Linked DNA regions of Oryctolagus cuniculus. The protein of the gene in region 3 interacts with the protein of the main gene of each other region in a pairwise test. Links are inferred from orthologs where the notes say so. Each region holds a gene or a part of one and is shown on either strand. Other genes may lie near its edges.

What was found.
Region 1: the proteins of AP1M1 (region 3) and AP1B1 interact in a two-hybrid assay, tested with the Homo sapiens proteins (2 studies listed by BioGRID, with this or other methods). The link is inferred for Oryctolagus cuniculus from reciprocal best matches to the Homo sapiens genes AP1M1 and AP1B1.
Region 2: the proteins of AP1M1 (region 3) and ZBTB8A interact in binary tests that used the Homo sapiens proteins (3 or more experiments, as listed by UniProt). The two-hybrid records come from large-scale screens. The link is inferred for Oryctolagus cuniculus from reciprocal best matches to the Homo sapiens genes AP1M1 and ZBTB8A.

What each region holds. Positions count from the first base shown.
Region 1 is NC_091452.1:22,804,809-22,808,555, forward strand, and holds the start of AP1B1 (AP-1 complex subunit beta-1), read right to left. Parts: upstream 2,625-3,747; 5' UTR 2,448-2,624; intron 1-2,447. UniProt on the Homo sapiens protein: Subunit of clathrin-associated adaptor protein complex 1 that plays a role in protein sorting in the late-Golgi/trans-Golgi network (TGN) and/or endosomes.
Region 2 is NC_091438.1:139,928,501-139,931,958, forward strand, and holds part of ZBTB8A (zinc finger and BTB domain-containing protein 8A), read right to left. Parts: intron 1,572-3,458; coding exon 1,239-1,571; 3' UTR 1-1,238. UniProt on the Homo sapiens protein: May be involved in transcriptional regulation.
Region 3 is NC_091447.1:64,739,886-64,743,532, reverse strand, and holds part of AP1M1 (AP-1 complex subunit mu-1), read right to left. Parts: intron 1,229-3,647; coding exon 1,102-1,228; intron 1-1,101. UniProt on the Homo sapiens protein: Subunit of clathrin-associated adaptor protein complex 1 that plays a role in protein sorting in the trans-Golgi network (TGN) and endosomes.

The DNA.
Region 1 (3,747 bases), on a different chromosome or scaffold from region 3:
CGGTCCTCACGCCATCTGAGCGGTGAGAGCTCAACTCAGGGCACAGATGACCTGTGCTCTCTCATGTTCCCGCCTTCTGTGACAAGTCACTTTATCCCGATTCTTCCCTTGGAAGGAGGAGGATAAGGTGACAATATTAAGTTTCTGTGAAGTCAGTGGCACTAGGAGAACAGATCATAGAGTTAAAGAGAATACCAGTACTACCCTAACATTTCTATCAGAGCTTTTTTTTTTTTTTTTGACAGAGTTAGACAGAGAGAAAGGTCTTCCTTCCGTTGGTTCACCCCCAAAATGGCCACTACGGCCGGAGCTATGCCGATCCGAAGCCAGTAGCTTCCTCCCAGTCTCCCATGCGGGTGCAGGGCCCAAGCACTTGGGCCGTCCTCCACTGCCGTCCCAGGCCACAGCAGAGAGCTGGACTGAAAGAGGAGCAACCGGGACTAGAACCCAGCGCCATATGGGATGCCGGCGCCACAGGTGGAGGATTAACCAAGTGAACCACGGCGCCAGCCCTCTATCAGAGCTTTCTTCAAAAGCAGGTGGACACCGCACAGGGAGATTAACGGTTAAGACACCTAAGAGGGGCCAGCACTGTGGCGTAGCGGGTGAAGCTGCAGCCCGCAAGCTGGTATTCCATATGAGTGCTGGTTCGAGTCCCTGCTGCTCCACTTCTGATCCAGCTCCCGGCTCTTGTGCCTAGGAAAGCATCGGAGGATGGCCCAAGTCCTTGGGCCTCTGCACCCACGTGGGAAACCCGGAAGAGGACTCTGGCTCCTAGCTTCGGCCTGGCCCAACCCTGACCACTGTGGCCATCTGGGGAGTGAGCTAGTAGATGGAAGATCTCTCTTTCTCCCTCTCTCTGTAACTGTGCCTTTCAAATTATTTATTTGAAAGGCAGAGGCAGAGAAAGAGTGCAAGTGAGAAGTCTTCCATCCGCTGGTTCTCTCCCCAAATGGCCACAACAGCCAGGAGCTTCTTCCGGGTCTCCCACACAGGTTGCAAGGGTCCAAGGACTTGGGCCATCTTCCACTTCTTTCTCAGGCCATAGCAGAGAGCTGGATCAGAAATGGTGCGGCCAAAACTCAAACTAGCACTCACATGGAATGCCGGTAGTACAGGAAGCGGCTTTACCCAGTACGCCACAGTGTCAGCTCCTAAAATAAATCTTAAAAAAAAAAAAAAAAAGACACCAGGAGAGGGTAGGAAGGCAGCAGGTCTTTCTCACGCTGCTGTCTGGGAAACTGAGGCGGAAGTGCAGTGGTCACTATCTGGAAGAAAGCTCAGACACAGAGCCTGACCCTCGGCCACCAAGCGTCTCCTCTCCCAGGCAGGACCACGTGGGCTCTGCACACTTCTCAGAGGGGCGAAGACTTCCCTCTGGGTACACGCTTCCACACCCAAGACCCCCTGATGGTCATCTGGGTGCCCTCTTTATTCCAAAAGGAAAGCAGTTCTTGAGCTACTTCTCAAGAGATCCGAACCATCGGCTTCACGGATAACCCGTTCGGGGTCTCACAGTTCCCAACAGTCAGGAAAACCTTCAACGCGTGCCCCTGCAAGATCACTTACAACAGCCTGCCCGGCTGCCTCACGGTGAAGAAAGCAAACCAAATGCCCCTTAGGAAAGATCAGGCAATAAGGGCACGTCTTGACCCTGACCCACGCCCCTAAAAATATGAACCAGCCCCTCACGCCCGATCACGGCGCCCCTCTCTCCATGGTCTCTGTACTTTGAGGCCCCGAACGCCTAAGCAGGAACCCTGGCTCTGCCCCTCCTGCCCAACTGGCCTTCCATGCGTGATCTGACCTCCCTGGATAAAAGGGGGACGAAACACCAGCGCCCTGGCAAAGGACTCGATGTGCACTGTACGTAAAGCGCTCGGCACAGCTGCGCACACACAGTAGGAGCTCAAGACTCAGCAGGGGGTCCTCAGTATCTCTTAGCATTGTTTTCAGACGTCCCCATGCCGTCCACTCGTCCCCGGAGCGCCAACGGACAGACCAAGCCCAAGTCCACCCGGGCGGCACAAGGCTGGTTTTTTCTTTTCTAACTTTAATTTTTCCTTTCTGAACCTCGGCCCTGGACGCCGACGAGGCCTCGGGATGACCACGGGGGTAACGGTGAAAAGGGAAACCAGAGCCCGCAGAGGAGCTTCCCCCACCCGGCCAGAGACGGGAGTCTCGGGGCCTAAGGTCCGGGAGTCTCCGGGCGGGCGCCCCGAGAGCGCCTACGGACACGGGGCGCCCGCGGTCCGGGCCGGCGGCCAAGCGGGCGCGAATGAATGAACCCGAGTCCTTCCGCCCCGTCCGGCCCCGGGACGCCGCCGCGCGCCCACGGCGCCGCGTCCTCCCCGTGACCTCTGACCCCCACAAACCCCTCACCTCAGACCCCCCGACGCCCCCACGCCGCTCCTTCTGCTACCTCGCGGCGCCCCCTGCTTCCTCACCGGCAAGTCCGAACGGCTCCTGGAGCCACGGCTCGGTTCGGCTCGGCAGCAAAATGTCCGCGGCCTCCTGCTCCTCCTCCCACCCTGCCGGTGCGTCCGTGCCGCCGGCTGCTCCGAGCCCCGCGGCTGTCACCTGCCGGGCGGAAGTGAGCTGCCCGCGCGCGGGCACTTCCGGTGGACGCACGGCCGGGGGGCGGGATCAAGGGTACGACGCGGGCAGGGGAGGGGCCCGGGGAGGGGCGGGTGCGAGTGCAGGGAAGGGGGCGGAGCCTGCGGGCAGGCACTTCTGCGAGGCCGCGGCGCTGTCTCCGCCGAGGTCTTGGAAAAGCCACGCAGCTGCGTACTAGTGGCGGCGGCCACCCCGTTCCTGACTGCGGCACACCGTGCATCTGCTCCTGCTAGATACTGTCTGCTCATCCCGCTTTCAAACGCCGCTCGCCCAGGAGGCCGCAGGGGGTGGTCCTGCACCGGGTCCCCGCCGCCCACCTGGATGCCCGGCTCCTGGCTTCTGCCTGGTCCGGCTGCAGCCCAGGAGAGAACCAGGGAGATGGGAGGCCTCTCTGCCTTTCAAATAAAAAAAATAAAAATTGCATTGCAGAGCAGGGAAAACCCACTGGTAACCAAAGCGAAGATAAAAGTTCACCTTCAATCTCACTTCCCTGAGATAATCACTTCCAATATTTTGGGGAAGGTTCTTTTAGGCTTGATGATATGGTTTGATTTTCTTTAAAAAGTTTTTTTAATTGAATTTTTAAATTTATTTGAAAGGTAGTGTGAGAGAGAGCAAGAGAGAGAGGGACAGACTGGCTGGTTCACTCCCTCAATGCCCTCAAAAGCCAGGGTTGTTCCAGGCTGAGGCCGGGGGCCTGGAGCGCCATCCAGGTCTCCCAGGTGGGTGGCAGGGACCAGGTTCTTGGCACCATCACGGCTGCCGGCCAGCAGGAAGCCGGGGCTGGAGCTGAGCAGGACTTGAACCCAGACCCTCCAGCAGTGGATGCAGGCCAATCACGTGGTCTTCCCGCAGCCCCGGGTGCCTGCCCCTCACTCACCAAGATTATGCTAAAAAAAAGTCCTGAAACAATGAGCACATTTCTTTCTCCGTGGTGTTTTCTGCCCTTGTGTGGATGGCACCTCTCTTCTCTGAAGCGATCCCCTAAGGTTGTACATCAGGTTGGTATTAATTTTTTTTTTTTTTTTGACAGGCAGAATGGACAGTGAGAGAGAGAGACAGAGAAAAAGGTCTTCCTTTTGCCGTTGGTTCACCCTCCAATGGCCGCCGCGGCCGGCGGGCTGCAGCCAG
Region 2 (3,458 bases), on a different chromosome or scaffold from region 3:
CAATCCTGCTCCCTGCTAACTGAGAAGGCAGCATAAGATGGCCCATGTCCTTGGGCCCCTGCCACCCACATGGGAGACCAGGATGGACTTTCAGGCTCCTGACTTTGGCCTGGCCCAGTCTTGGCCATTATGGCCATTTGGGGAGTGAACCAGAGGATGGAAGATCTTTGTATGTCTCTCCCTCTCTCAGTAACTCTGCCTTCCAAATCAATAAATAAATCTAAAAACAAACAAACAAACCTCAAAACACACACAAAAAAAACCCTAGAATGTGTCTAATTATCAATTCTAGCACTTAAAGTTTTGGACATTAATTTCTCATTTGTAAATCGGAGATGATGTCTACCTCACCGATCAGTGAATAAAACATGAGAGAGTACTTTATAAATAATAGAGCACTACACATGTGTCAGAAACTACACTTGGGGACTAGTAAGGATCTCTAGTTTTGTTTTTTTTTTTCTCTAGAGAGGTAGGGAAATATCTTGACAGGTTTTCACAAACCACAGGGACTTTTCAAAGTCAGTATTGATTTCTTGATTTAAGCAAAGTAACGTGTATACAATGCTTGGCCAACCTTACTTTTGTTTTGTTTTTTTTTTTTTTTAATAATTCTGTCTACATCAGAGCAATTTTAAACTTAATGACAAAAATTTCAAATACGCACAATTTTGAACATCTTAGATTACTCTTCTGCCATAATCTAAAACATTTAGGACACTGGAATAATGCTATATTGTTTCAGATCTGAAGTTAATAGGAAAACATATTAGTTCAGGCAGATGGGTTGCCAGGCCCTTAAATGTGCTCTTACCTGGTTCCCTGCGGAATTCAGTATTGATGGTATATATATTTTTGGAATTGTCTTACATGAAGTTCAGTTATGATAAATTTATTTAAAATATTTTCTTTGAAAAAAAGTTTGCTAAGTAGATCTTCCAATAATAAAAGAAAAAAGGTGTCTCCGCATATGTAAAAGGATTACAGTAAAAGTAAGAGGATAATCATCCACCCATCATGCCAACTCAAGCTAGGTCTTTCTTTCCAGTGCAGCAACGTATTACAGGGCAACCAAGCTCAGAATGGATACAATGGCCTGTTCAGAAAGCATGCAGGTTACATCAGGTCATTCCTTTTAAGTCAGTAATAAACTTGCTAACCAGACTCTGACCATGGAAAGAGACACACGGAGGCAATGAAGATGCACACATGCCAAGCTCTGCTGGTTCCCCTTATGGCTACCTAATGTTGGGCTTTCTTTCCTTTTCTTCTTCTTCTTCACTGTCATCAACCTGCTGGATGACCAGATCAGCCGACCCGTCCTCCACAATCTCCACGTAGGATCTGTTCTCGTCTTCACCCAAGCGCCACCTGGACTCCTTCTCTGCATCGGATGAGGACAGAAGATGCTGCTCAGCTTCCAGATCGACCGGGAGGCTGTCGATGCCGACCTCCGCGAGGCACTCGTTACACAGCCTGTAGCGCCGCGTGCCTTCCTGCACCACGTGTCCTGTTACATCAGTCACGTGGCGTTTACATTTTCTGCAGATTAGTTTGCAGGCCTGGTGGATCTGTGCAGAAATTTAGATAGCGGTAAAAAATGACTTTTCAAAAGCAAAGTTTGAGTTATAGGTCTCATTCGGTTCACAAACTTAAGATGCTCAAAGCCATGCATTAAATTCAAATTAATATCTAATTATTAGAGAAAGATCATAGGCTTGGTGATAAATGTATGCCACAGAAATATATTTTTTAAAGATTTATTTTATTTATTTGGAAGTCTGAGAAAGGAAGAGAGATCTTCCATCTGCTAGTTCACTCTCCAAATGGCCGCAACAGCCAGGGCAGGGCTAGACTGAAGCCAGGGGCCAGGAGCTTCTTCTGGGTCTCCCATGTGGGTGCAGGGGCCCAAGCATTTAGGCCGCCTTCCATTCTTTTCCCAGGTGCATTAGCAGGGAGCAGGATCAGAAATGGAGCACCTGCGACTCAAACTGGAGCCCATATAGGATGCTGGTATCACAGGTGGCAGCTTTACCCATTATACCACAATGCTGACCCCAGTCACAAAAATATTAAACATCACCATTCTCTAAATAATGGCTATAATGGTTTTATTTATTTTTAAAAGGTTTATTTATTTATTTGAAAGGTAGGGAAACAGAGAGAGAAACCTTTCATCCACTGGTTCACTCCCTAAATGACCACCAACTGTCAGGTTTGGGCTAGGCTGAAGCCAGGAGCCAGGAACTCCATCCTGGTCTCCCACATGGGTGGACAGGGCCCAAGCACTTGAGCCATTATCTGCCACCTTTCCAGGTACATTAGCAGGGACTTGGATAGAAGGCAAAGCAGCAGGGACTTAAACTGGTACTCTGACATGGGATGCCAGTATCACAGACATCCTGGATCACTGTGCCATAATGCTGGCCCATGGTTTTATTATTATTACATACACTTAATAATTTCACAAATCCTTTAATCCAATAGTATTCCGATATCTGATGTAGCCAATGGATACATTCCCAGGATAGTAATAATTGTAAACACTTACTATGTACCATGTACTGTTCTAAGGATTTTACATATTTTAACTTGAGGGAAAATGCCTCTCTTGCTTCAAGAGAGAGTGAATTTTCTTATTTCACTAGAGGAAGAAAATATATTGTCTAAATTTAAATGCATCGATTTTTAAAAGATGTGTTTACTTGTGTGAAAGGCAGAGTCACAGAGAGAGGGAGAGACAATAAGGGAGAGATCTTCCATCTGTTGGCTCACTTCCCAAATGGCCGCAACAAGCAGGGCTGGGTCAGGCTGAAGCCAAGAGTCTGGAATTCCATCTGGGTCTCCCACATGGGTGCAGGGGCCCAACATTTGGACCATCTTCCATTGCTTTCCCAGGAGTGTTAGCAGATAACTGGATGGGAAGTGGAGCATCCAGGATTTGAACTGGCATTCATATGAGATGCAGGTACCATGGCCAGGGACTTAACCAGCTGTGCTACAACACTGGCCTCATGAATATTTGTGGATAGAAGGATCACTTGTCATTTTATTAACATAAGGTCTGGCAGAAAGAGGACTGTAGGGTATATGTTTTGTACAGGAGTTAAGATGCTGCTAGGGATGCCCATATCCCATATCAGAGTACCTAGGTTTGAGTCCTGGCTCTACTTCCGATTCTAGCTTCCTGCTAATGCACACTATGAGGGACAGCAGTTATGGCCTGACCTAGCCCCCAGTGTTGTGAGCATTTGGGGAGTGAACTAGCAGATGAAGATCTCTCTTACCCTCTGTCTCTCCCTCTTTCTCTGTTACTTAACTGCTTTCTAGTTTTTATCTTTATTTTTTTCTTATTTTTAAAAATTTTATTTATTTTTATTTACTTGAAAGGTAGATAAAGAGAGAAAATCTTTCAATCTTCCATTTGCTGGTTCAATCCCCAAATGCCTGCAACAACT
Region 3 (3,647 bases):
AGGGGACAGGTGTGTGTGTGTACACTGTGTGTGTGCACTCTGCGTGTGTGCACTGTGTGTGTGTGCGTGCCCTGTGTGCAGGCTCCTGTGGCCCAGGCCGCCCCTGTGAGAGCATCCTGTGGGGGACAGGTGTGTGTGTGTACGTGCACTGTGTGTGTGCACTCTGTGTACGTGCACTGTGTGTGTGCACTGTGTGTGTGTGTGCCCTGTGTGCGTGCACTGTGTGTGTGTGTGTGCCCTGTGTGCGGGCTCCTGTGGCCCAGGCTGCCCCTGAGAGAGCGTCCTGCAGGGGACAGGTGTGTGTGTGTATGTGCACTGTGTGTGTGCACTCTGCGTGTGTGCACTGTGTGTGTGTGTGTGCCCTGTGTGCAGGCTCCTGTGGCCCAGGCTGCCCTTGAGAGAGCGTCCTGCAGGGGACAGGTGTGTGCACTGTGTGTGTGTGTGTGCCCTGTGTGCGGGCTCCTGTGGCCCCAGGCTGCCCCTGAGAGATCGTCCTGCAGGGGACAGGTGTGTGTGTGTGTGCTATGTGTGTGTGTGCACTGTGTGCCCTGTGTGTGGGCTCCTGTGGCCCAGGCCGCCCCTGGGAGAGTGTCCCGAGCTGCAGAGCACGGGGCACGCGGGTTCCAAGCCTCCTCCCGGTGGCGGCCCAGCTCACCGGAGTCTCCAGCAGGCAGCCCAGGGCCCAGACAGGGGAGCTGCTTGGATGGAATGTGTCTGCTGAGTGACTCTCAGACCTGGCTGCGTGAAGCGTGGGGGTCCCCGAGGGCTCGCGCCCCGCCACTGGGGCCTGGGTCCTCTCTCAGCTTTGTACTCCACACATGGCAACGTGGGTCAGGCTCTGCTCGCCCAGAGCAGGCAGAGCTGCTGGGCAGGCCTGGGCACGGCCGCAGTCCGGAGAAGGCCTGCGCCACCCCAGGCTGAGCCCCTGCGTCCCCTGCCCCACCCTGGGAGCACCAGCCAGCCTGCGAGAACGGGAACCCGTGTGTGGCCCTCACCCAGTGCGGACCCAGAGCCCCAGGAGAGGGCAGAAGCAGAGCCCCGAGGGACGGGAACTGCACCCTGGGTGTCTGAGGCCCCCGCCCAGCGCGGCCGGCTACTCACGGCCCGTGTTGTCGAAGAGGACCTTGTCGTTGAGGCCCAGGCGCAGCTCGGGCATGCCCGAGAGGAAGACGCGCATCTTGATGGAGCCCACGATCTCGCTGCGCAGCACGTTGCCGTTGGCGCTCACCTGGGGGGCGCGGGGCGGGGGGCCTCAGCTCACCCTGTGCTCCCAAGGTTCGCCTCCCTACCCAGCCCCCTCCCGGTAGCCCAGCTCAGGCCAGGCCACGCCCTCCTCCCACCCACACCCTGCTCAGAGTCCCGGGCTCACCCCTCCCCCAGCCTTCACAGCAGGGGCTGTGGCCGCCTCCCCCCCCCCCCCCCCCCCCGCCCCAAGGACTCTGACCCAGGGACACTAGAACACTCGCAGGGCATGGGCCGACCCTGGAGCCCAGCCGAGCCGAGGCAGCGGGGGCCCAGTGCCTGCCGCAAGGGTCTGAAGGCACCACGTGGCCAAAGGGCGCCCGCCCCTGCAGTGCCAGGCGACAGCCCTGAGACCGACCTGGAGAGACAGGCTCTGCCCTCCGTGTCTCGGTGGCCCGTGGGGGTCTGTCTCTGTCTTCCCCTCCAGCAAGGGGCAGGCTGCTGGCTGCTGTGTCCCCCGGGAAGCAGCGACTGGCCCACCTGGGCTCCAGGACAGGGCACCTTGGGATCGCACCTGCGGCGCTGTCAGGACCCTGTGTGCTACCTGCCGGCCCCTCACTGCTCTCCTCTGGGAGCTGCCTCCCGCAGCTGCGGGTAGGCCTGGGAAGGCGCTGATGCCAGCCCCGTGGGCAGCACTCGGGGCTGTGGCCTGCGCTGAGGTGGCACCCCAAGTGCCCCCAGCCGGCCAGGGCGGGCGCTGCCGAGATGTTTGCCAGGGCCCGGCTGCTCCGGCACCCTGCCCCGTCCAGCTGATCGCGATCTGGAGGCAATGGTGACGCGGCCATGGGCTCTGCAGTCAGACCTGGAAGGTGGCAGCCCCACACCCGCCCTGGTGCCAGCCAGGGTGCAGAGGAGCTTGGCCCTCCCGGCGGAGCCATACTCTGCTCTCTCCAAGTTACTCCCCCAGGGCACCCTGGGCAGGATCACAGCTACTGCGGCCGCTGTCACAGGGCAGGCAGCTCTGCTCGAAGCGCCAGTCCCACAGCTGGAGGCTTAGCTCTTCAGAAGTCCCAACCAGGGCCGGCAGGTGGCCCGGGCCGCCACACAAGCTGTTGCCTGAGGGCACAGCAGGGTGACCCACCTGCTGGGACTGGCTGAACCCACAGGTTCGCCCGACAGCAGGTGCTGAACCAGAGCTCAGGCGGAGAGTGCGCCTGAGGTGGGGGCGGGGAGCAGCTGGGAGAGAGCGAGGTGGGCAGGTGGGAGAGGGCGAGGTGGGCAGGTGGGAGAGAGCGAGGTGGGCAGGTGGGAGAGGGCGAGGTGGGCAGCTGGGAGAGGGCGAGATGGGGCAGCTGGGAGAGGGCGAGGTGGGCAGGTGGGAAAGGGCGAGGTGGGCAGGTGGGAGAGGGCAAGGGGGGGCAGGTGGGAGAGGGCGAGGTGGGCAGGTGGGAGAGGGCGAGGTGGGCAGGTGGGAGAGGGCGAGGGGGGCAGGTGGGAGAGGGCGAGGTGGGCAGGTGGGAGAGAGCAAGGTGGGCAGCTGGGAGAGGGCGAGGTGGGCAGGTGGGAGAGAGCAAGGTGGGCAGCTGGGAGAGGGCGAGGTGGGCAGCTGGGAGAGGGCGAGGTGGGCAGCTGGGAGAGAGCGAGATGGGGCAGGTGGGAGAGGGCGAGGTGGGCAGCTGGGAGAGAGCGAGATGGGGCAGGTGGGAGAGGGCGAGGTGGGCAGCTGGGAGAGAGCGAGATGGGGCAGGTGGGAGAGGGCGAGGTGGGCAGCTGGGGAGAGAGCGAGGTGGGCAGGTGGGAGAGGGCGAGGTTGGCAGGTGGGAGAGGGCGAGGTGGGCAGCTGGGAGAGGGCGAGATGGGGCAGCTGGGAGAGGGCGAGGTGGGCAGCTGGGAGAGGGCGAGGTGGGCAGGGGAGCCTCCAGCTGGGCTGTGGGGCCACAGTGCGGATTCCTGATACTCGGGAGCAGGGCACTCACGCAAGACACGTGGGACAGCGGGGCTCTCTCCCCCGGCTTCCACCCACAGGACCCAGGGAGGCCCCGGTAGGGAACAGAGGGCCAGGGGCCCAGCAACCCACCTCCTCAGGCTACACACAGAGACCCGTGAGGGGACCTAAGATCCCAGGCCCCAGACGGAGCCCCAGCAGCGCACGTCTGGCACGCAGGCCTTGAACACAGAAATGATTCTGTGGCCCACAGGCTGAGCGCTGAAGTGGTGGCCTGAACCCAGGCAGGTGGACTGCTGGCTAAAATGAGAGCATCAACACTTCCCTTACGTTGTAAACGAAACCTAGAACCTTATCATAGGTCACGGCCGACAGCCGGCATGTAAGCCAAAACCACTCAGCACACCAAGAGCTGCGAACATTTCGGAACATGGCCCCGAGATGTCAGCCCTGGCGCTGACGCTGGGATGGTCTGAGGCCCAGGGACGCAGGGGAAGAAGAGGAAACCGAGACCAGCCAG